Linked DNA regions of Sus scrofa. The protein of the gene in region 3 binds, or shares a complex with, the protein of the main gene of each other region. Links are inferred from orthologs where the notes say so. Each region holds a gene or a part of one and is shown on either strand. Other genes may lie near its edges. The genes, in order: RIPK1, RIPK3 and MEFV.

What was found.
Region 1: MEFV (region 3) and RIPK1 share a complex: the UniProt entries of both Homo sapiens proteins name them as parts of the AIM2 PANoptosome complex. The link is inferred for Sus scrofa from reciprocal best matches to the Homo sapiens genes MEFV and RIPK1.
Region 2: MEFV (region 3) and RIPK3 share a complex: the UniProt entries of both Homo sapiens proteins name them as parts of the AIM2 PANoptosome complex. The link is inferred for Sus scrofa from reciprocal best matches to the Homo sapiens genes MEFV and RIPK3.

The regions. Positions count from the first base shown.
Region 1 is NC_010449.5:1,838,290-1,846,279, reverse strand, and holds the start of RIPK1 (receptor-interacting serine/threonine-protein kinase 1), read right to left. Parts: upstream 5,138-7,990; 5' UTR 3,734-5,137; intron 3,221-3,733; 5' UTR 3,101-3,220; intron 1-3,100. UniProt on the Homo sapiens protein: Serine-threonine kinase which is a key regulator of TNF-mediated apoptosis, necroptosis and inflammatory pathways.
Region 2 is NC_010449.5:74,948,337-74,956,326, reverse strand, and holds RIPK3 (receptor-interacting serine/threonine-protein kinase 3), read right to left. Parts: upstream 5,183-7,990; 5' UTR 4,989-5,182; coding exon 4,969-4,988; intron 4,686-4,968; coding exon 4,545-4,685; intron 4,391-4,544; coding exon 4,081-4,390; intron 3,625-4,080; coding exon 3,479-3,624; intron 3,356-3,478; coding exon 3,309-3,355; intron 3,093-3,308; coding exon 2,925-3,092; intron 2,814-2,924; coding exon 2,728-2,813; intron 2,501-2,727; coding exon 2,138-2,500; intron 2,005-2,137; coding exon 1,944-2,004; intron 1,411-1,943; coding exon 1,271-1,410; 3' UTR 1,072-1,270; downstream 1-1,071. UniProt on the Homo sapiens protein: Serine/threonine-protein kinase that activates necroptosis and apoptosis, two parallel forms of cell death. Necroptosis, a programmed cell death process in response to death-inducing TNF-alpha family members, is triggered by RIPK3 following activation by ZBP1.
Region 3 is NC_010445.4:38,932,036-38,939,898, forward strand, and holds the start of MEFV (pyrin), read left to right. Parts: upstream 1-2,585; 5' UTR 2,586-2,652; coding exon 2,653-2,929; intron 2,930-5,000; coding exon 5,001-5,840; intron 5,841-7,863. UniProt on the Homo sapiens protein: Involved in the regulation of innate immunity and the inflammatory response in response to IFNG/IFN-gamma.

The DNA.
Region 1 (7,990 bases), on a different chromosome or scaffold from region 3:
AGGTGACACCCTGAGTCATTTTCCCGTAACATGAGACATTTCGAAACAAGAGGAAGCACCCTCTGGAAAGACACGTGTCTGTGGGGCGGAGACAGGGTTTGGGGGAGGTGCCCAGATAAGGACAGGGAGACAGAGGGGACAGGAGAGGCAGACACCGAAGGTGAGGGCGCCTAAGCCATAAGGACAGTGGCTCTTCTCCTGTATGAACTCAGGCTTTTTAACTTAGCAGCCCTGTGTCTTAGGTAACTGACATAAGCCTCAACTTCCTCATTTGCAAAAGGAAATAACAGTGCCTCTCTCAAAGATTGTAAAGATCGTGTGAGAAAAAAATACATGAAAATACACTCACTGCCTGCTTCGCGGCTCTGGCCCCGGTTGGCCCAGCCACACCTGTCCACGCGCATCCCCTCCCTGGCCCTGCGGCCGCCAGTGCGCAGCCGGGGTCCCTCTTCTCAAGCAGCTCTCTGCTGACCCGTCTTGGGGGGCGGGGGGACAGAGTTTTTGATCGTTCCCCCCATAAGCCCTGCGGGGACACTTCCCTCTCCGGGCCAGAAGCTGCTCCTCCTTCTGGCCTCAGAAATGCCATTTCCTCCTGCGCAGGGTTCCTTCAATTAAGCTCACAGAAAACAGGAAACTGTGTGAGGCCGTCTACAGCGCCCGGCACAGAAACTGACACATGGCAGCTGGTCACCAAATGAGCTCGTGTCTTAAAAAAAAAGAACTACTGGCAGTTCCCGTCGTGGCGCAGTGGTTAACGAATCCGACTAGGAACCATGAGGTTGAGGGTTCGATCCCTGGCCTTGCCCAGTGGGTTGGGGATCCAGTGTTGCCTTGAGCTGTGGTGTGGATCGCAGACACGGCTCAGATCCCGAGTTGCTGTGGCTGTGGTGTAGGCCGGTGGCTAAAGCTCTGATTCAACCCCTAGCCTGGGAACTTCCATGTGCCATGGGAGCAGATCAAGAAAAGGCAAAAAGACCAAAAAAAGAACTAGAATTGTTCAAAGATAAAGACTAGAGTTAAGCGGATTCAAGCATATTCACAAGCTGTACCACTATACAGCCAGTGCATGACAGGGTGGATGGGTGGGCAGACCGACAGACACAGGCCCAGGAGAAAAGATACAGAGAAAGACCCTGACGGGTGAGCAGGAATTTTATTTGGATGGTTGGGTGATTCTTTCTTCTCTACACTTTTACTACATTTTCCAAGTTTTCTACAATAAACATGAATTATCTTCGTAATGAATTTTTTGGCCTCACCCACGTCATATGGGCGTTCCTGGGCCAGGGATCAAACCTGCCCCACAGCAGCTACCTAAGCCGCTGCAGGAACAACACTGGATCCTATACACCACAGGAGAACTCCGACAGATCTGTTTTAAAGGAAATAATTCCTTCACTGTGCAGTTCTTTATTCTAAGGAATCAGGTGCTGGCATAGATTATGCACAAAGATGCTCCCGGTAACACTACGAAGAACAGCAAAAGAACAGAAAACAACTGACGTGCGCAGAATAAGGGAGAGTAAGTTATACGGCCAATTCGCACCATGAAATACATCCAGCAGTTTTCAAAAATGGTGGTAGGGTATGCATGTTTAGTAATATTACAAAAGGCTCACAGACCGAGTAAAGAAACAGAAAGGAATTACACCCATGCCTTGAAAGAGGCCCAGCGGGGTGTCAGGATTCAGGAGGATGAGGTTCCAGCTGCTCTCTCTCCTTCAGCCCAGATCTTGGCTCCTCAGAGCCACCAAGACCAGCGGGGACTTGTAGCACCCCCTGCAGGCAGGATGCGCTCGGTGGGGGCGGCTCCCGACCTGGGCTGGTTCTCCTCGGGCTGCGGTTTGCTGGTTGAGGCTGGTCTGACCTAACTTCTGCTCCTTTGCATGCTGTCCAATGATTTCTTGAGATTGTACTGTTGCCCCCGCCCCCCGTTTCCTCTTGAATGATTCAACTTTATAAACACTGAATAATTTAGGAAGGATTGTGTGTGAGTGATTTAGAAACCCAAGAGTCACAAAAACACAATGCAGGCAGAAAACCAGACGATAAAGCCCGTTACAGAGGGGTCAATAAAAGCCAGCCGGCCAGTTGTCAACTTGCGATTAACTAATTTCCACAAGAACGTGAATATATCTCATTTAATGGGGTTTCTTAAGATTTCTGCATAAGTATATTTTTGTTTGTTTGTTTTTTAGGGCCGCACCCACAGCATACAGAGGTTCCCAGGCTAGGGGTCCAATCCGAGCTGTAGCCACCAGCCTACACCACAGCTACACCACCACCAGATGGGAGCCGCCTCTGCGACCTACACCACAGCTCATGGCAACGCCGGATCCTTAACCCACTTGAGCGAGGCCAGGGATCAAACCCTCAACCTCATGGTTTCTAGGTGGTTTCTGCAGCACTGGTGACGGGAACTCCTGCATAAGTGTATTTAATTCAGGGACTCAGGAAAGCAATCTTTTCCACTGAAGTTAACTGAAACTTCACTAATGACCTTCAAAGGCACGACAGGTCTAGGTATCAAAATATTTATAGCTATATTCCATTTTGTTTCTCACTATACCTCAGTAAAGCTGGGGGGACATGTGAATTGTTAATAATAAATAATAACACCAAAACGCCAACAAAACTGATCTATGACCCTAACAGTCGGGAGAGTGGCTCCCGGGGGGCGGGGGCGGGGGGGACCAGGAGGCTCTAACTGACACGAGGTTCGAGGGATTGCGGGCAGCAGTGTCTTACTTGGTCAGGTTCCCTCTGCGATGCGCAAGAGAGCAGTTAGGCCCTGTGCACTTTTCTATGTAAACATTTTAAAAAGCGACTCCAAATACTCATAGTCACCTTTAAGTGGGAAGGAGTATTTTCTCCATTTTACAATGATGACCGTAGGTAATGAGTCTGACGGAAAATGCTGCCCATCGCTGCCCTCCTTTCCCTGCTGACAGTACTCTGATTTGACTCAAGTGTCCAAGGGTTCTTTGCTTATAACCCCTTGAGGCTTTGCCCCAGATAAACAAGAGCTCCGAGCAAGGAACATCCCAATGATAAGTAAGACAGAATGACAGGAAGCGTTCCAGCCAGCCTCCCCAGGTACCTTAGGACACTGCGGCCTAACGGTAAAGGCAGTAACTCCTGGAGTTGAATGATGCCTCTAACACGGCAGAGTCTTTCCTCTCTCCACTCAAACTTCCGCTAACACATACATGCTTCTTCTCTAGGGAGCAAACCATAACCTTTGTTAAAATCACGTGCAAGAACCTCATCTCACAAACTTGCTCACCCCTGAGAAACACACACATCAAAGTGTGTGGTTCCAGATCAGCTTTCTGCAGGTTATAACACGATCATTTTTGCCGGAGAATAACATCCAACCAGAGCGTGGGAAGCTTTGTGTTTTTTCAAATTCCCCGATCACACTGGCCGTATCAACAGTGTCGCGGATTAATAAGCCCCAATCGGAAATTGGCGATTTCCGAACTCGATGTTTAGGGACTTTTTCTTCACTCTCCCGGATGTCCCCAATCCTCCAAGTACAACGTGCCGCAGAGGAAAATGGAGACAAGTTAAAAGCGTTACTGCTGCCTCGTCAGTGATAACTAATGACGCTGCCGCTGTACCCCATCATTTTATTTTGAACGAACTCAGTCTTCACCTTTACTGTCTGGAAGAGCTGCCCTTCCCCGCACGTATAACTGACCACGACTGTCTCCCTTTCTTTTGCACCTACCTGATGGTTACAAAATGCAGATCAAGCACGAAGTCACTCTACAGGGCCAAGTTCACTCCTGCCTTGATTTCTCCGAGTGTAAAACTTGGGGTAAGAACAGTGGTCTAAAGACCGAAGAACTTCGGCAAAGTTGGTTGAGTGCAAAGGCTTCAGGCTTTGTCCAAGATACACAAGAGCTCTGAGCAAGGAGCTGCCAAACGATCAGCAACAGGCCGAGACAACCAACCACCACGCCTCCGGCGGGGTTTTGTCCACGGCTCAGGGAAGAAGAACTTAGCTCGCCCTCTTCAAAAACTCCGACGAGGTCGTGGAGCGCTTGGTAAGAGCAAACGCCACTGGCCACGGACGAGGCCTCCTGGGGTTACGACATCCTGCCCCTTCGTCGCTGTGGACCCTTCTCTCCCACTTGCCGGCTCCCGGCCGAGGCTACGCGGAAACGCCCCCGTCCCGCGAGCCGCGGCGGCCCCAGGCCCCAGGCGAAGGTCCTTCCGAAGGGCGGTAAGGAGGCCGGGCTCAATGACACCGCCGTGAAACCCCACCTCCCCCACCAGCTCGACAGCGGGAACGGCGTCGGTTGGTTCCAACATCACAGGGGAGGCAGGGCTCCGCCCTCGGACCGCCAGACCGAAACCACCCGCCAGCGGGGAGCCGCCGCGCTGCGGCCAGGTAACCGGCCCGCGCCCGACTTCCGGGAACGCCTGGGCCACGCCCACCCCGCGCGGACCGCCGGCCGACTTCCGGGAAGGCCTGGGCCACGCCCACCGCCAGACCCCGGGAGCGCCGCGGGCCGCGCCCAGCACCCGTCGCCGGACCCGCGTCCCTGGTCCGACCCGCGGAGAACCCCGCCGCCCGGAACGAGGTCGCGGGCCACGCCCACAGCCTGACTTCCGGGAACGCCGACGGCCACGCTCACCACCTGACCGGCCCGCCGCCCCGTCCGTCCGGAACGCGGTCGCCCGCCCGCCGCCCGCGCGCCGGAAGCGGGAGCCCCGCCCTGGGCGGAAGCCGTTCGGGGAACCTGACCGCGGTCCGGGTTCCCAGCGCAGACCCACCGAAGGATTCGCTTTCGCTTCCGCGGGCAGCTTCCCGAGGCCGAGGCGGGGGCCGGGGCCGGGTGGAGGACGAGGCGGCGGGGGCAGTCCAGGATTGCCCCGACGCCCGGCAGCGTCGCCGGCGCGGAGCCTGACGAGGGTCGCCGCGGGCTGAGCCGTCGGCTGCGACACCGGCGGGGCGGCCCCGCGCTCCCCGCCCCCGGCTGCGCGAGCCCGCCGTCCGCCGCCTGCTGCCCCGTGGGTCGGCGCGCTCCGGCCCTCGCGGAGTGGGCCCGCCGGGACCGGCGCTCCAGAAAGCCGATCCGGTGTCCCCGTCGCCTGCGCGCCGACTGAGTGAGCTCGGCCGGAGGAGGGCGTGGACTGCTCGCTCCGCCTTCTGCCCCTGCCCCTGCCCCGGAGGAGGGCGAGCCGAGCGCCCGCCCCGCCGCCGGCCGGGCCTCCTGGACAGCTTTCGGAACCTGGAGTGCGCCCAGCCAGATGTCGCGGCTTTGCTGCGTTTCAGAGCGAGTCCGGAGGCCCGGAGAGGAAGTGCGCGGAGTCTTAGAAACCACTCTTAGAAACCTCCCAGGTGGGGCATGCAGCCCCAGGGGAGTTCTCAGCTCCGCGGGTCAGCGGCGCTGGAACTATAGGCAATTATCATGCTCTCATCTCCCTCACCTGTACAGCGAGGATAATAAAATCTACTCTGGATTTTAGAGTAGAAGAGCAAGGTATTTATTTTGCAGTCTTTTGCAATGATAATTGGGAAGTCTCAAGCAAAATGGGAAATACTTGCTCTAGTGTTACGTTAAAAAGCTTATACACAGCGTGATAACATACTGTAAAACGGTACATACATCAAGAGAATGAGATGCCACAAACTAAGAAAAAGCACATATATTAAAACAGTATTACCCAAAATGAAGTAAAAACCTAAGAAAAGGAACATCGCAGTAAGAAAATGGGCAAAAGATCTGAACAGTCACTTTACCATATAGATGGCATGTGAAAAGATGGTCAATATTAGAAGTCACTAGGAAATTATGAATTTCTTCTTATTCATTTATTTATTTTGGCTGCACTCAAGCAGCATGTGGAAGTTCCTGGGCCTGGGATAGACCCCATGTCATTAAAGCAACCTGAGCCACTGCAGTCACAATGCTGGGCTCTTAACCTGCTGTGCCACGAGAGAACTCCAGAAACTGTGATTTTAAACAGCAATGAGATACCAGTACATCCTATTGACTTAAAATAGACTGCCAACTATTTCTCAAAAAAAAGGTTTATTCATGATCCACAAAGGATTGCATTTCAGGGTCTGCAACTGTAGGAAGCTGTGTGCAAAGCCCCAGCAAAAATGGAGAGGAGGACACTTTTATGGGGACAGAGGAAGTTAGGAGGGCTATAGTTTAAAAAAAAAAAAAGATGCAAATCAAAACTACCATGAGATATCACCTCACACCAGTCAGAATGGCCATCATTAATAAATCCACAAATACCAAGTGCTGGAGGGGCTGTGGAGAAAAGGGAACCCTCCTGCACTGTTGGTGGGAATGTAAACTGGTACAGCCACTATGGAGAACAGTTTGGAGATACCTTAGAAATCTATACATAGAACTTCCATATGACCCTGCAATCCCACTCTTGGGCATCTATCCGGACAAAGCTCTACTTAAAAGAGACACATGCACTTGCATGTTCATTGCGGCACTATTCACAAGAGCCAGGACATGGAAACAACCTAAATGTCCATTGACAGATGATTGGATTCGGAAGAGGTGGTATACATACACAATGGAATACTACTCAGCCATAAAAAAGAATGACATAATGCCATTTGCAGCAACATGGATGGAACTAGAGAATGTCATCCTGAGTGAAATGAGCCAGAAAGACAAAGACAAATACCATATGCTATCACTTATAACTGGAATCTAACATCCAGCACAAATGAACATCTCCTCAGAAAAGAAAATCATGGACTTGGAGAAAAGACTTGTGGCTGCCTGATGGGAGGGGGAGGGAGTGGGAGGGATAGGGAGCTTGGGCTTATCAGACACAATTTAGAATAGATTTACAAGGAGATCCTGCTGAATAGCATTGAGAACTTTGTCTAGATACTCATGTTGCAACAGAACAAAGGGTGGGGAAAAAAATGTAATTGTAGTGTATACATGTAAGGATAACTTGATCCCCTTGCTGTACAGTGGGGAAAAAAAAAAAAAAGTCTGTAGCTTTTCACTGGTTGAGTTGCCTGGAGAGAAGAGGTGTTTTTTCTTCCTCTTGGCCTCTCTGCTGCTGTTGCAGGTATGAGAACTCCCCCTTCTGGCCTCCTCTATTTAAGGTTTTTGTTCTTTGTTCATTTGATTTTTACATTTCCCCCTTTGATCAAGATCTTTCTCTGAAAGCATCTCCATTCAAGCATGAGATTTTTTTGGTGTCAGTGGCTTTTCTGTACCCCAGTGTCAGGAAAGCCCTTTCCTATCTCCCATCAGTGGGAAAGGACACAGATTGCAAACATGCAGAGGTTACACTGGAGTAAGAAGGAGGAGTATGAGAGCTGTCAGGCACTTTTCACCCAAAGTTCATATGTTACCAAGATCAGAGACGCTGGAGATCATCTGAAGTGCTGTGTTGTCAAAGCTTTGGCAACAAACTCCCAACACGCCTGGTCCAGTTATCTTGGGAAAGCTGACTCATCAGATGCCATCTGCTTCAATTCTGGGAAATCTTTACCTTTAGGTCGCCAGATGCTGTACAGGTCCAGTCAGGCTTTGGCTCTTAAATGTAATTGTGTCATGTGAGTCCAAGAGTCAGTTCTTTGGAGTGTGGTGGCACAAGGGTTGGTTAGCAGTACCTGATAGGGCCTTTCCAATAAGGTTGAAGAGTTTGGAGGTGTCTTACTCCCACAGATAAAATCTACTGGTTGCAGGTGTGAGGCTTAAGGTCTTCATTTCCCTGGAGACACTGGAAAGACTACAAAATCATGGTTATTTTTGGTTGAAGTAATTAGATCTTTATGATAGTGGAACAATGCATAGCACTCCTGGGTCAAAAGAGGCAGGCGCCAAGCATAACGTGTGTCCTATGACTATCTCAGACCGTGAGAGTTTATGAATATAAGAAGTGGATCGAAGATTCAGAAGGACCAACGGCAATGCTTTTGGCCAAAGTATTTAGAAACCTTTGCAAATGTTGCCAGCTGAGTTATAAGGGCACCATTAGC
Region 2 (7,990 bases), on a different chromosome or scaffold from region 3:
TGCCCACGATGCTGCCGCAGCTGAACGGACTAACCCCAGGGCAGGTTCTGGAGTCACGCCTGTCTCTGGGCTGGTAGCTCTGAGCCCTGGGCCACAGGCGCTTCCCTCCCGGCGCCTCAGCCCCCTCCCACTTCCCTGATGGGACAGCCCGGCCCTTCCTGTGCCCTAGCCAGACTCCACAGGCCTCCTCCCCCAGTCTGATTGTCTCTCCCAGCACCAGGGCCTCCTCCCATCAACCCCTTCAAGGAATGAGAATGCAGACCATGGGGGTGCTGGGCCAGTATCAAAATGGACTCAGAACCTTGGATGTGGGGAGACTGAGGGAGGGCTGGAAGGAAGACTGGCAAAAATGCAGGGAAGAAGCACATGGTGCTGTATGGGAGCTAAAGTCTAGGTCAAGATGAGAGGGCTGCTCATTCCCTGCCCCTCCAGACTGGGTGGCAGTGCTGTGGCCCCATCTGACCGGTCCATGCTCCAGTGATGTCCAACTCCAAGGGAGGGGTGTGTGTGTAGCTTTGTGGAGCCATTGCTCTCCACTCCTAGACACCAGCAGGGAATCAAAGGGTTCTGAGGCCTCCGTGTTACAGCAATGTGTGCGTGGGTGTACCTGGGGGAGGGAGTGGTAATATGGAGGCTGACCTGTGAGAGACTAGGGGCATCGTGCAGGGCAAAGATGTGCTGGGGACTGCGAGTTCCCATGGAGAACCCCCTCCCCAGGACCCCACTGCCAAGCCTCCATAGCCCACAAGAAAAGGTGGGTGGCTGGGCCACAGCCTCTACATCCAGGGTTTGGTTTGGGGTGGGGTCTTGACCTGCCCTACAGGAAATGCTTTGCCCTGAGATTAGAGCAGCCCCAGGAGATAGGCCTCCAGGATTCCTTCCTGCCACCGGCTGGGCCTTGACCTTGTGTGCCACAACATTGCCCATTCCCAGCATCCTGCTTCCGGTTGGTTGTGGTCCGTGGTTGTGGTTGAAGGGCAGTACCTCCCACTCCCTCGATGTCAGCTCCCCGGTCTCTCATCCATGTCCCTTTCCCTCCCCTGGCTGAAGCTTTAGCCTCCTGTACAGTGCTTGGGCTAAAATTCCACCAAGTTTATTGAGTCCTGGGGGAACAAAGACAGTTCGGGTACAGGCCTAATGACCCTCAGAGAATGCTGGGTTTTCCAGAAGGCAGTTCAGAAGCTGCTTTGATACTGCTATCATGATACCAGCCCTGTGGCCCACTCCAGGCTTCCGTTTCTTGCAGTCCTTCTTTCTAGTTGTTTGAAAGCTACTTGTGCTGGGGGCCCTTCTTCATGCCCCAAGGTACCGGGCCCCGCGTGGATGAGGCAGTTCTTCCTTTTATAACCATGTAGTTGCTGTTTCCAATCTGCACCCCTTGGTTGTAAAGTAACTGAGAAGACCATGGCCCTTTAAGAGAAACAGTGATGCTCGAGGGAGGGTTAAAGGGTACAGATCTGAGAGTCTAAGCGAGGAGGAGCGGCAGGGTGGGGGGCAGCGGCACCTTGTGTTCACCCTGGGGAAATGCAAGTAGGCAGTCTCTGGGCCTGCCCACGACTGTGTCAAGGAGTGCCTTGGGTCTTCCCTTTCGGGTTTCAGAATTGGGTTTGCAGAAGCTCAAGAGGAGTGGCAACGAACATCTGAGACGCTGACATTTGGGTCTTTTCTGCTGGGTGGCCCTCTGGGCCTACATAGCAGCAATGGAATTTAGAGGTTCACAGAGCTGGAAAGTCAGAAGGCTCAGGGGCAAATCCAGGCTTTGCTGTGTGACCTAAGTGGGACCCAATCCCAGTTTCTTCATTTATAAGATGAGAAAGTTGGGGTAGGTGACCTCTAGCCCTTTCTCATCCCCCTCCCCAAGTACCCTGGATCTATATTTGATCTTGAGGAAGAAGCTGGTGGAAGAATTGAGCAGAGGAAAGGAGGGAATGGGGAATGGGTACCTGATATTGGATTTGGCCCTGGTGCCATGGGAGACCAGTTGGTGCCACGTCTTTCAGGCCCCTACAGACAACACAGTGCCATCAGGCTCCCTGTCCCTGGGCCTGTTCCCCTACTGCAGCCCCAAGTTTTCCCTGGCAAGGGGACAGGATTCACAGGAGTCCTAGTGCATCCTTGAGTCCTGCCAAGGTCTCACCTGATTCTCTTGGGGTCCAGGGCCTGGGGGCCAAGCTGAGGTGTGGCTGGGCTTCTGGCTCATGAAAGGTAAGGTCTCTGGGGTTTGAGGAGGTTGGGCTGTTGAATCTGAAGGTATCTCTGCTGTCCAGGTAGGCTGAACCTGCTCTTTCTGGGCCCTGATCCTCTCAGGAGGGTTTGTACATTTTTCAGGAACAGAGCTGGGGTACTCCTCCAGGTTCAGGCTGTTCATCATTTCAGAGACCACAGAATCATGGCTTCCTGTGCTCCCCCTAAGGCCATCCATTTCTGGACTTTCCAGGCCTGGCTCACGGACAGACAACAAGCTGCTGCTGCTCTTGTGCTCAGACAAGAACTCCTTCACCTGTAAGGATGGAGAGCTGGTTGGGCATGGAGGTGGGAGAGCCAGGGTTAACCCAAGGGAGGAGCCTCTTGGCCCATGTCCATTGCCTGGGAACTCAGGGATGGGTTGGGGGGAGTGGGCATGAGAGTCAAGGCTTAGAGAACAACAGTCAGCGGGGAGTCATTGGGTGGCCAAGGAAGCCATGCTGTGCCTTCCCTGCCCAGCTCCTAGGGGTGCTAGACACTCACTGTGGAGACCGCGGCATTCATCTTCTTACAAGTTACATCTTGTTTCATTACCAGATCGAGGGCTCCCTGGGTGTTGGGTCGGCAGTCTGGAGAGAAGGCAGAATGGGTGGTGGGTGAGCATAGCTTCATTATCAGGGAAGAGCCCCCTGCGGACAGACCCAGGCCTACCTCAGCTGCCAACTAAATGGCCAGCGCACCTTGGAAGGAGGGCCTATTCCGGGGGTCATGGCTCCAGCAGCGCTGCATTAAATCCTTCAGTCCTTCCAAACCAGGATTCTCAGGGCCAGACTGGGGCAGTTCATCCAATGGGGGTCGGACGTGCCTTTCACACACTGCTTCCCGCACCAGTGATATCTGGGTCGCCACTGGGGAGGGGGTGGGGGACGTGGAGAGAAGGCATTCAGAGAGTGAGGGCCACCTGCCCATCATGGAAAGGGGCAGGGAGTACAGTCCAAGGAGAGGTGAGGAGGGAGTAGGGCAGTGTGAGCAGGTCAATAGGAAGAGGAGAGCTTGGGGGGGTGGGGGCTTGGAGGAGGGGGACACCTGAGATTCGGGATCCCAGAGTCTGCCTGGAGTCTTACCCTCAGCTTCTCTTCCGGCTAGCACCGCCCACATCAGGATCCCAAAGCTGCAGGAGACAAAAGCTGAGGCCTGACCCAACTGCTGGCAAGACTCCCTTCCATATATTGTCCCTCAGAAGGACCCAGAGAGGTGTAGAAATTGGGATGTGTATGTGGAGTGGGTACCTTACCTGTAGACATCACTGGCCATGGAGGCCTTTCGGTTTATATCAGCCAGCAGTTCTGGGGCCAAGTAGGCTGGGGTGCAACCTGATTCCCCAGATTCTGCCCTTGACTGTGAACCTCCCTGAAATGTGGACAGGCCAAAGTCTGCTAGCTGCAAAGGGAGATAAGAAGGAAGAGATACGGATGGATAGGGCCAGGCAGCCTCCAGAACTTTCTTCCCACTACCCCATAGAATGTTTAGGTCCAGCCCTGGAAAGGGGGTGTGGAGGGTTAGAGAAGTGGTAGGACAAGTGGGGCCCTTGGTTGGAGGTCTGGGTCCTCTCTCCATGGGGCTGGGTCAAGATTTGAGCCTCCTAAGCTAGGTTAGCCATGGGTGTTTGGAGGTCCTAGTGGGTTCTAACACAGTGGAACTGACCATGTTGGTCAAGGCCTCTATCACCTGGTATGGCAGCAGCTAAAGCTCCTGGATGGCAGCCCTATATCCAGAGGGAGTTGCTGAGGGTATCCTGGGCTGCAGCAGATAGGTCTCATGTCCAGTGAGTGGAGCTGGAGCAGCTCTGGAGCAGGATTTTGTCCAGAGGTTGGGCTGGGGCGGGGATGCGCTGACCTTGGCATGGAGCTCTGAGTCTAGCAGGACGTTGGAGGGTTTGAGGTCCCGATGGAGGAGCACAGGGTCCTGGCTGTGCAGGTAGCACATCCCGAGCACCAACTCCTGGAGCAGGCGGCAGAGAAGCGGCCAGGGACGAGGGCACTGGGGCTGTAGCAGCTCCGCCAGGGAACCATTCTCCATGAACTGAGTCACCAGAGCCGGCCCAGATACATAGTCCCACTCCAGCTTCTCTGTGATCCCCAGCAGGAGCAGCACATAGCTGTTATGCAGACCTGCCATGGCCTTCACCTCCCTGGATATCGCCTGCCTGCAATCAGAAGAGAGTTGGAGTCTGCTTCTGAGAAGTTGCTCAGCTTCTGGGTAGACCCTTCCCTTTCCCACCCTGGCCCTGAGTTACAGCGGCCTGCCTTCTCCACCAAACACCTGGCTGGCACCAGCTGCCAGCAGCTTGGGTCACTCACGAGTTAACGATCTTGACCGCCACGTCTAAACCCCAAGTCTTGTGCTGCGCCCGGAAGACCGTGCCAAATCCTCCTTTGCCGATGAACTTCGGGTTCTCCAAGTCCTCGATGGGCACCAGGGGCGCTGAAGCACCAACGTGCCTGTGAGAGGAGGCCTGGTCATCAGCTGGCCATGACCCCCAAGTCAGCACTGCTGTTCCCCATGCCACCCCATCCCCGTGACCCCCATGACTGCATATGGTCAGTTCAATCCCCAGCCTCCCCCGTGAAACCCACTATGCCCCGGGGCCTTGGCACATGGGTGGGTGGCATCCCCTGAGTGAGCCCGCGGGGTGCCTATTGTGTGTGTGTGTGTGTGTGTGTGTGTGTGTGTGTGTGTGTGGTGGGGGGGTGGCTCCAGATCCATATCTCACTCTTTACTCACCATAACTTAACGCCGGACATCAAGTTGGTAGGTGCAGAGGGTTCTGGAAGTTGAGAGCCCACACGGAAAGGGGGGCGGCGCTGGGAGAGGAATCAATCTCCAAGCCCCGTCACAGACTCCGCTTCCCGGAATCCGCTTCCCGGCTCCCCAGGTTGTTCTCTCTACTCAGCCAGACCGACTTCCTCTTTGACGGAGGCCTCTGCAGTCCTGCCCTTGGGGGCGGGGGGGGGGGGGGGGGACGGACGGGGGCGGGGAGACCGGGACGGGGATGCGGGCGGGGTGCAGAAAGGAAGCAAGTGGTTTTCAGAACGTGCTGCTTCCGGGTTAGTTGCCCCTTTTTAGATCGCCACAGAAGGCGTCCTCACTTTCCAGGAACATATAATCAACAGCCTCCTACAAATGGTGTCGTTTCCTTCTTCCGCAGGATTCCTAGCTCAACCACCAAGCCTGCTGGTGCTGAGGATTCAGTGCTGAGGAGCATGTTAGGGGCCTAGGACTCAGCTCTCCTACAGCTGCCCTAAGGTCAGAGCTAACACATTTCTAAAGCGCACCACACGCCATGTACATATATTAGCTATTTAATTCGCATGTCAACTCTAAGGGGATAAGTACTTATTTATTTATTTATTTATTTTCCACTGTACAGCGTGGGGTACAAGTTAACATACATGTATACATACTTTTCCCTCCCATTGTTGTGTTGTGATGTATCTAGATATAGTTCTCAATGCTACACAGCAGGATCTCATTGTAAATCCATTCCAAGAGCAATAGTTTGCATAGATTAACCCCAAGCTCTTGATCCCTCCTCCTCCTCCCATCCCTCCCCCTGGCAGCCACAAGTCTATTCTCCAATTCTATGATTTTCTTTTCTGTGGAAAGATTCATTTGTGCTGTATATTAGATTCCAGTTATAAGTGATATCATGTGGTATTTGTCTTTCTCTTTCTGACTTATTTCACTCAGTATGAGAGTCTCTAGTTCCATCCATGTTGCTGCAAATGGCATTATGTTGTTCTTTTTTATGGCTGAGTAGTATTCCATTGTGTATATATACCACATCTTCCTAATCCAATTGTCTGTCAGTGGACATTTGGGTTGTTTCCATGTCTTGGCTATTGTGAATAGTGCTATAATGAACATATGGGTGCCTGTGCCTTTTTTAAGGAAAGTTTTGTCCAGATATATGCCCAAGAGTGGGACTGCTGGGTCATATGGAAGTTCTATGTATAGATTTCTAAGGTACCTCCATACTGTTCTCCGTAGTGGCTGTACCAGCTTAATTTCTCACCAGCAGTGCAGGAGGGTTCTCTGAACCATCAAACTTTGCTATATTCATATAAGCTTCAGCTGGTCGTGAAGGTGTCTGAGGAAGGTATGAAGCATCCAGCAGTGTAGTGGGAGTCCCTGTATGTATTCCTGCCACTGGTGGTGATTTGTCTGCTGGCAAGACCAAGACCCACTCCTAGGGCATTGTGGTCAGCGAGAGGAATTGACCCAGCAAAAAGAATTGCTGACTTGGTGGTGTACACTGCAGTGGAACACCTCAGAGCCTGCCTGCCCTCTCCTCCTGCAGCAATTCCTCAGGGAAAATTCTCTGGTTAATAAATATTCCTGACAAGCATGTGCTCTGGACAAGGGCCTTGGAGAACTCAGGAGCTTGGGGGAACCTTAAGGATTTAGAGTAGATAAAAGGTGTCCATAGATTACCTGCCCAAAGCCTGACAATAGCTGGAGGTTGTAGAGCTAGATATGGCTAGTCTTGGGCTTTCATTCCTTTACAGGAGACCCAACCCTGTGGGTCATGGGCCAGCTCTCACAGGACGGTGCTCACCTTGGTATGAACTTTCCATTCTGTCCAGTGGTTCATGGGCTCTGTTAGTTGGAGCAAAAGTGGCCAGCGTTTAACTGAGGTTTCTAGAGCAACTGGAACTCCGGGATCTACATCATGAATTCTAGTGACGTCAGTCCATGCTATTTGCAAACTATTTAGGATTTTTTTTTTTTTCTTTTTAGGGCTGCACTTGCAGCATATGGAAGTTTCCAGGCTAGGGGTCCATTCTGAGCTGCAGGTGCAGGTAGGTGTACAGGCTGAGGTGCTGTTCATACACCTTCAAGCCATAAAGGTGTTATTGTGTTTATCTGCCTGCCTTGGGCATAGCTACAATCTTCCAGGCCTCCACTTGCTCCTTAGCTTGGACCTCAGGGCCCCGTAAATTTTGAACTCTCTTGGCATTTTTTTTTTTTTTTTTGGTCGTCTTTTCTAGGGCTGCACTGGTGGCATGTGGAGGTTTCCAGGCTAGGAGTCTAATCGGAGCTGTAGCCACCAGCCTTTGCCAGAGCCACAGCAAGGCTGGGTCCATAACCCACTGAGCGAGGCCAGGGATCGAACCTGCAACCTCATGGTTCCTAGTCAGATTCGTTAACCACTGAGCCACGATGGGAACTCCCATCAACGGGTTTAAATCTTTAAGGATTTCAGAGTTTGGGACAATCAGATGAAGACTCTAAAGAAGTTATTGCGAAATGTTTAAAGAAATAAAAGATGGAATAGAAAAAAAATTAGCATGAAATAAGAGATTATAAAAATGTCCAACTAGACTTAGGGAAAAAACAGAATATCAAGAAATAAAAAAAATTATATGTGCCCATCCGTTAAAATTAAAACTGCAATGCAGAAGATATAGCTGAAGAAAGTGTACTAAAAGATGGATCTGAAAAAAAAAATTCATCAGGAGCTTCCATTGTGGTGCAGCAGAAACAAATCTGATTAGAAACCATGAGGTTGTGGGTTCGATCCCTGGCCTCTCTCAGTGGGTTAAGGATCCGGCATTGCCATGAGCTGCAGGGTAGGTTGCAGAAGCAGCTTGGATCCTGTGTTGCTGTGGCTGTGGTATAGGCTGGCAGCTGTAGCTCCAATTGGACCCCTAGCCTGGGAACCTCCGTAATGCCGCGGGTGCGGCCCTAAAAAGACAAAACAAAAACAAAAAAACATCAGAACACATCAGCAGAGACACAGAGA
Region 3 (7,863 bases):
ATCCATGAGGACATAGGTTCGATTCCTGGCCTCGCTCAGTGGGTGAAGGATCAGATGTTGCTATGAGCTGTGGTGTAGGTGGCAGACACGGCTCAGATCCCACGTGGCTGTGGCTGTGGCTGCGGCGTAGGCCAGTGGCTACAGCTCTGATGCGACCTCTAGCCTGGAAACCTCCATATGCCACAGGAGCGGCCCTAGGAAGACAAAAAAAAATTTTTTTAACTAAAAAAAATTTTAAAAAATTCTTTAGGTGCGACCCTAAAAAATTAATTAATTTTAAAGGCCAGGGGGATGTGAAAGTGTTCTAGATAAAAGGAGACTTACAGAGACATGACAACTAAAAGCAATGTGTGCCATCTGATTGGATCCTTGTTTGGAAAAAAAAGCCATCAGAGACATTATCAGAACAATTGAGCAATTCGATTATGGACAGGTTGTAGTATTACAAAAACATTAAAGTTCCTCAGTGTATTAATAGTGTTGTGATTATTTAAAATAATATCTGGGAGTTCCCTGGTGCCTCAGCAGGTTAAGGATCCAGTGTCACTGCTGTGGTTCCGGTCGCTGCTGTGGCATGGTTATGATCCCTGGCTTGGGTACTTCTGTGCATCACAGATGCAACCCCCCAAAATAAAAGAAAATTTAAAAATTGATATCCAGGCATACTTATTCTTAGTATTTAGGGTATCTAGGGTATTTGGGTGATATCTTTTTTTTTTCCTTCTGCTCTTTAGGCATATGGAGGTTCCCAGGCTAGGGGTCCAATTGGAGCCATAGCTGCTGGCCTACAGCACAGCCACAGCAACGCCAGATCCAAGCCGCATCTGCAACCTACACCACAGCTCACAACAACATCGGGTCCTTAACCCACTGAGCGAGGCCAGGGATTGAAACCACAACCTCATGGTTCCTAGTCGGACTCATTTCCACTGCGCCATAATGGGAACTCCTGGAGTGATATCTGATATGTTTTAAATTTATTACCAAATGCTTCAGAAAAAAAAGAGAAGTGAAAGCATGTGTGTGTGTGTGTGTGTGTGTGTGTGTGTGTGTGTGTGAGAGAGAGAGAGAGAGACAGAGAATCACCAAACATTATAAAATGTAAACAGCTGGTGATCCTAGGATAAAGGGTATATAAGGGTTCACTGTACTATGCTTTCAACTTTTCTGTGGATTTGAAATTTTTTTTTTTCTTGTCCTTTTAGGGCTGCACCCTTGGCCTATGGAGATTCCCAGGCTAGGGGTTGAATCGGAGCTGCAGCCGCCAGTCTATGCCGCAGCCACAGCAACACAGAATCCGAGCCACATCTGCGACCTACACCACAGCTCATGGCAACACTGGATCCTTAACTCACTGAGTGAGGCCAGGGATCAAACCTTCATCCTCATGGATACTATTCGGGTTCATTTCTGCCAAGCCACAACTGGGAAATCCTGACATTTTTGGAAACAAAATGTCGGGGTAAAAATCAGTGCAGAAAGACGGAGCAGTCAACCAAGGAAGAAGTCAGCCCCCACCCCACACACAACACTTAGCTTCGGAGCCACCGCTGGGGCCCCACACTGGGCTGCGAGCTCTGCCGGATGCCTGTGCGGTTTTTCAGCCCTGTTTCTCTGGCATCCTGGCCCAGGGTCCCAGACACATGCTCAGTAGATGTGCAGGGACAAGAGCGCCCCCTCCGAGGCCTGGGGCTAGGAAGCTGCGGCAGAGGTAGCGCTGGGACAAACAAATCAGGATGGTGGGCCCAGGCCTGTGGCATTTTGAGGCATTCGTGTTGCTGGAAGAACCAGACAACCAGAACAACATTCAAGGGGGAGATAACAGGGCTGGTTTCTGGGCGGTGCCCTTCCAGCCTCACCTGCCTCCTTGGGTTGTACCTGCGGCTCCCCATTCCCCGCTCCACAAAGTCCCAAGAGTCTGCAGGGGAACAGCTGGCCGGAGAAGCTGACTTTCATCATGCTCCTCTCCAGCATGGGACCAGGGGCTCTGTTCCCCCCACTGTACCCCTGTATCCTGGGAGAAGCCAGGGAAGCATCACCATACCTCTCCCAAGATCAAGAACCTGGAATCCAGGAGTTCCTGTGGTGGCCCAGCCGGTTAAGAACCCCAAAGAGTGGCCCTGAGGATATGGATTCGATCCCTGGCTTCACTCAGTGGGTTCAGGATCTGGCACTGCGGCAAGCTGCGGTGTAGGTCACAGATGTGGCCTGGAACCAGGGTTACTGCGACTGAGGTGCAGGCCCGCAGCTGCAGCTCTGACTCAACCCTTAGCCCAGGAAATTCCATATGCCAAGGGTCTAGGCATAAAAAGGAAAGAAAAAAAAAAAAAAAAAACCTGGACTCCAATTCCAGACCCTCCAAGACTTACCCACCGCTCTGCAATCCATCTCAGCCAGTGAGAGCTCAGGTGCCGGCCACCTGTCTGACGGGGCGTGGAGCTCTCCCAGCTGGAAAAGCCTCTGCATCTGTAAGAGAACCCAAGCCAGCCATGACATGCTCATGGCCTTAGTCTCAGTTCCCACCAAAACGGAGAGCATTTCCTGTGCCTTTTCCGTTATTTCACAAGCTACCTCTTCTCACTCACCCTCGGGGCTCCAGGGCAGAGAGCTCAGAAGACAGACAGCTGCCTCCAGGCTCTCCTGGGCCACGCTATGGCCAAGACCCCCAGTGACCATCTGCTCTACTCCCTGGAAGAGCTGGTGCCCTATGACTTTGAGAAGTTCAAGTTCAAGCTACAGAACACCAGCCTGGAGAAGGAACACTCCCGGATCCCCCGGGGCCAACTCCAAACAGCCCAGCCAGTGAAGCTGGCCATGCTACTGGTCACCCACTATGGGGAGGACTATGCTGTGCAACTGACCCTACAGGTCCTGAGGGCCATCAACCAGCATCTCCTGGCAGAGGAGCTCCACAGGGCAATCAGCCCAGGTAAGTGGCCCCATGCCCCCGCAACTTGCTGGCTGCTGGCGGGGTGGGGTGGAAGGCGCAAGAGGGAACTGATGTTTGGACCAGGGCGTCTTGAGTCCAAGGTCTGCCACAACCCTGGTGACTTGAGCCAAGGAAGTGCTTACCCCTCTCTGGTTTTTGGAGGAAAGGTAAGGCTCCCAATGGCTTAACAAACAAAACAAAACAAAACAAAACCCAGAAGGCTGAGGTTCTGACTCTGGAGTGGGATCAGGAGAGGCAGGAGTGGCTGCCCGTTGGTAGAGGCGCCTCGCTTCATTTGTGATTAGCACTCACCCGGAGAGGAACAGCTTTGTTTGGATGATCACAGGGTTGATGGATGAACAGCAGGGTTGATGGGTAATCTCAGTGGTACCCCCTGAATTTCTGCTCTCAGTTCTTCTTTAACGCATGTTACAAAGGTATTTTAAAATTCTCAAAAGGACTCTCTTCTTTCTTTTTCCTTGCTTCCTTTCCTCTTTTGCCTCTTTCCTTCTCTCTCTCTTCCTTTCTTCCTTCATTTCCTGCATCTTTTCTTTCTTTCCTTTTTTCCATCCTTATCTTCCTTCTGCTACTGTTTTGCTGCAACTTTCTGATTTTATGACATTGTAATCAAAGAATGTGGCCAAGTGGTTCCTGTTTTTAAAGACTTTTTTTTTTTGGAGATGGGGGTGCTAAGACATGATTAGTTTAAAAAATTATTCTTTCATATTTGAATTTTTCTTACATTTCTAGACTTTTAAGAATACATCAGGAATACTTTATATGTGCTTCTATGAGGCAGAAGACTTTACATAACATAGAAATTCTCTGCTCTTTGAAAGAGTGATAAAACTAAAGCGTAATCTGAGTCTGGTGTAACCTGATGAGTAGAATTTTTAAGTTAATTTTTTGTATTTTAAAATCTGGTTATTAGCATTTTCATGGTTTCTTACCAGTTCTGGATCCCGTCTGGGTAACATGTTTTCCTAGACACCCAACAGCAAAATGTTTAAGCAACTTTAAATTCTAAGTATTTTTCAAACCAAAAATTAAGGTGCTAATTACAGGTTATTTTCATTTCCTTATTAAAGTAGTTTGAAAACCGTATCCCGGGAAGATATTTCACAGGTTATTTAGACTGTTACCAAATACCTAATTCAGATGTTGTTGTTTTAACTTATGAAACAAATTCATATTAAAATGTATATTAACCAAATTTTAAATACTGGAGGCCATCAGTGTGAAAGTTCGTGCTACACTTGAACTTTTTATGGAGACCCTGGAATTCAGCCTTTCTCGTTGTGTCTGTTTAATTAAACAGTATTCTGAAATTTCTATGCAAGCTGTATTTAACAAAAATTACTATGACGCTTGTCCGAGTTAAGGTTTTCTTTGCCTCATGATACCAAAGGGGAAAAAAACCCAGAAACAAATTAGCTTCTGAAGTTTTAACTGTCCTTCATAACCCCTGATTTCAAATTTGTGTGCCAATCTTTACTGATGGATTTTGTAAGTGGGTTTTGTACGTCGATAAACCACACACGAATGCATACCAATAAACAAATGTTTTCACTTACGCGTTAAGAATTCTTAGCAAGACCTAGGTTTCCCGCCTACAAAAGTTTGAAAAGGGAGTTCCCGTCGTGGCGCAGTGGTTAACGAATCCGACTAGGAACCATGAGGTTGCGGGTTCAATCTCTGCTCTTGCTCAGTGGGTTAAGGATCTGGCGTTGCCGTGAACTGTGGTGTAGGTTGCAGACGCGGCTCGGATCCCACGTTGCTGTGGCTCTGGCGTAGGCCAGTGGCTACAGCTCCGATTGGACCCCTAGCCTGGGAACCTCCATATGCCGCGGGAGCGGCCCAAGAAATAGCAAAAAGACAGAAAAAAAAAAAAGTTTGAAAAGCACTATTTCAGAAGACAGCAAATAATTAGTATGTTTTTATGTAATAGTAACTGACTGCCGACGTCTAGAATGTCCTGAACGTCCCTCATTTCAGGGGGAATTGTCTCTTCTCTCCCCTTCCCCACACCTTGACCCCGAGACTCTTCATGCCTTTTTATCTGTCTTTTCAGAATATCAGATACAAGAAAATGACACAGACAGTTCAGCAACGTCATGCTCCTCTAGGGAGATTAAGCCCAAAAGCCTGAAGATACTGGATGGCCTGGAAGGTGACAAGCAGCGACAGAGCAGTGACGGGGCTGGCTGCCCACCATCCATGCAGCCTGAGGCTGGCAAGGGGCCCCAGAAGAAGCCCCAGGTCAAACGGAGAGATCAGAAAGGCCCTGAGGGCCTAGATGCACAGAGCAAGCCAGGGGCCCGGAACATGACCACGTCTTCCAAGAGAAGCCCACTCCCTAGCAAGCCCCAGGGGGAGAAGGGGAGCAAGCCCGGTGTCAGCCTCCGCAGAAATGCCAGCTCTGCAGGAAGGCTCCAGGGCCTGGCCGGGGGCTCGCTGGCTGGGTCCCTGGGAAGGAGAGAATTTAAGATCTCTGAAGCCTATTTACCCACAGGAAAGAAGCGACCCAAAAGTCTTGAACTGACCATTTCTCCCGGAGAGATAGAATCCCTTCATCCAGAAACACTTCTGCTTCAAGAGAAAATGGGAAGTGAGAATCCAGGCTCAGCAGCCACCCCCAGTGAGATGGCCACTCTGAATGTGTGTGCTCCTGTGGCTCCAGAGAAAGGCTCCAGGAATCTGGAACATTCCATGACCCTGCAGGGGGGTGCACTCAGGAATACACTGTCCAACATATCGTTGGCTGCAAAGAAGAAGACGTGGGAGCGCCCAGAATCCACAGCACCTCCAGAGAAGAAAGGAACTGAGGCTCCAGAGAGCTCCAGGACTGTGGAGGAGGTGGCAGGCGGTGTGCTCCATGTACCTTCAAATCCGAAAGGCCCTCTGTCTTCAGGTAAGAAAGGACCTCAGAATCCAGGAGACTCAGCATCCTTGGGCATAATGACCTGTGCGGGTTTCCCCTATAAACCTCTGTTTATCCCCATTGTGTTTATTCCACTGGACCCCTGGGTGCCCCTTGAGGTCCTCAGCCCTTTGAGAATTTGATGTAGGCTCTGAATCCTGAAAAAAAAAAAAAGTGCACATGCACATCTTCAGGAGATGCTGCCTCCATTTCGGTTAGTTCTCTGTTTTGGGCTGTGCCTGTAGCAAGCGGATGTTCCTGGGCCAGGCATCAAACCCACACCACAGCAGGGACACCACCAGATCCTTTCCGTTAGTTAGTTCTTAGATACACTGATGTCCTTCTTAAGACTTCCCAAGGGCTTCGTGGACTCCAGGTTGAGCATCTGGAAAAGACTGGGTGGAAAGATCACCCTCTCACAATACCCCACGGTAGTATGTCGTGGGGCTGAGATCTTGCCATTGGCCTCTCCGGGCAAGGAGGGAGCTGTTGGCTAAACTCCTTGGGTCTCTTTTACTCAAGAGGCAGAAATTAGGGTTATGATGGGTTGACAGAAGTGCCAAAATAATGTAAGTGAAACAAGTCTGAAGTTTGTCCCCCCTCCATGTAAATGACACATAGGTGGTCCAGGATAAATGTGGTACCCTGTGGCCAGGAACCCAAGCTCCTGCCCTTTTTCTGCTCCACAGAGTTTGCTCTCAAGTTCATGGTCTCCAAGAGCAGCGTCCGCATTCTGGGCAGCGGGATGGAGGCACAAGGGAGAAGACGATCACTCAGGGAAGGTTTTCTCCAGTTTGCAGACACTGCTCATGGTGCCTCTACTTATTCACGTCCTCTTGGCCAGAATGAACAGGCACACCTTGGAAATATCGTGGGTTTGGCTCCAGGCCACTGCACTAAAGCAGATATTGCAATAAAGCAAGTCACATGGATTTGCTGGCTTCCCAGAGTATATTGTTTACACTACACTGTAGCCTATATGAGGTGTGCAATAGTCTTACATCTGAAAAACAATGTACATATCTTATTTTTTATTTATTTTTTTATCTTTTTGTCTTTTCTAGGGCCGCTCCTGAAGCATATGGAGGTTCCCAGGCTAGGGGTCTAATCGGAGCTGTAGCCGCCAGCCTACGCCAGAGCCACAGCAACGCCAGATCCTTAACCCACTGAGCAAGGCCAGGGATCGAACCCACAACCTCATGGTTCCTAGTCAGATTCGTTAACCACTGAGCCACGACGGGAACTCCATTAATTTTAAAACACTTTATTGCTCAACACTCCCCACCTTCTGAGACAGCCCACATTCTGTCTCTGAAGTATCTTTGTGTATAAATCTCTTTCGCTCTAAAAATAAATAAATAGGAGTTCCCTAGTAGCTCAGTGGGTTAAGGATCTGGCATTGTCACTGCAGCAGTTCGGGTCACTGATGTGGACCAGGTTTGATCCCTGGCCCAGGAACTTCCACATGTCCCAGGTGCGGCCAAAAAATATAAATAAATTGATAGCTAGATAAATAAAAATAATTTACTGCTAAAAAACATTCACCATCATTGACCACACAGAGTTACCACAAATCTTCATTCTGTAAAAATGAAGCCTCTGTGAAGGGCAACGAGGTGAAATGCAATGAAGTGAGGTGGGCCTGTATCCAAGCGACCATACCTAACTGCAAGGGAGGCCAAGAAAAGGAGGGTTTTTTTTTTTTTTTTCCGAGGGGGGGGTTTGTTGGGGAAGCAGCCACAGGGACAGCGATCAATTCTATTTAAAGGGAGGAGGGGAAATGGTAATTGGGGACCTCAAGAGGTCACTTAAAGATGTGATATGAGGAGTTCCTGCTGTGGTGCAATGAGATCAGTGCTGTCTCTGCAGGACCAGGACACAGGTTCAATCCGCAGCCAGCACAGTGGGTTAAAGAATCCAGTGCTGGTAGGGGGAGGGAGTGGGAGGGCCTGGGAGTCTGGGGTTAATAGATGCAAACTATTGCATTTGGAGAGATAAGCAATGAGATCCTGCT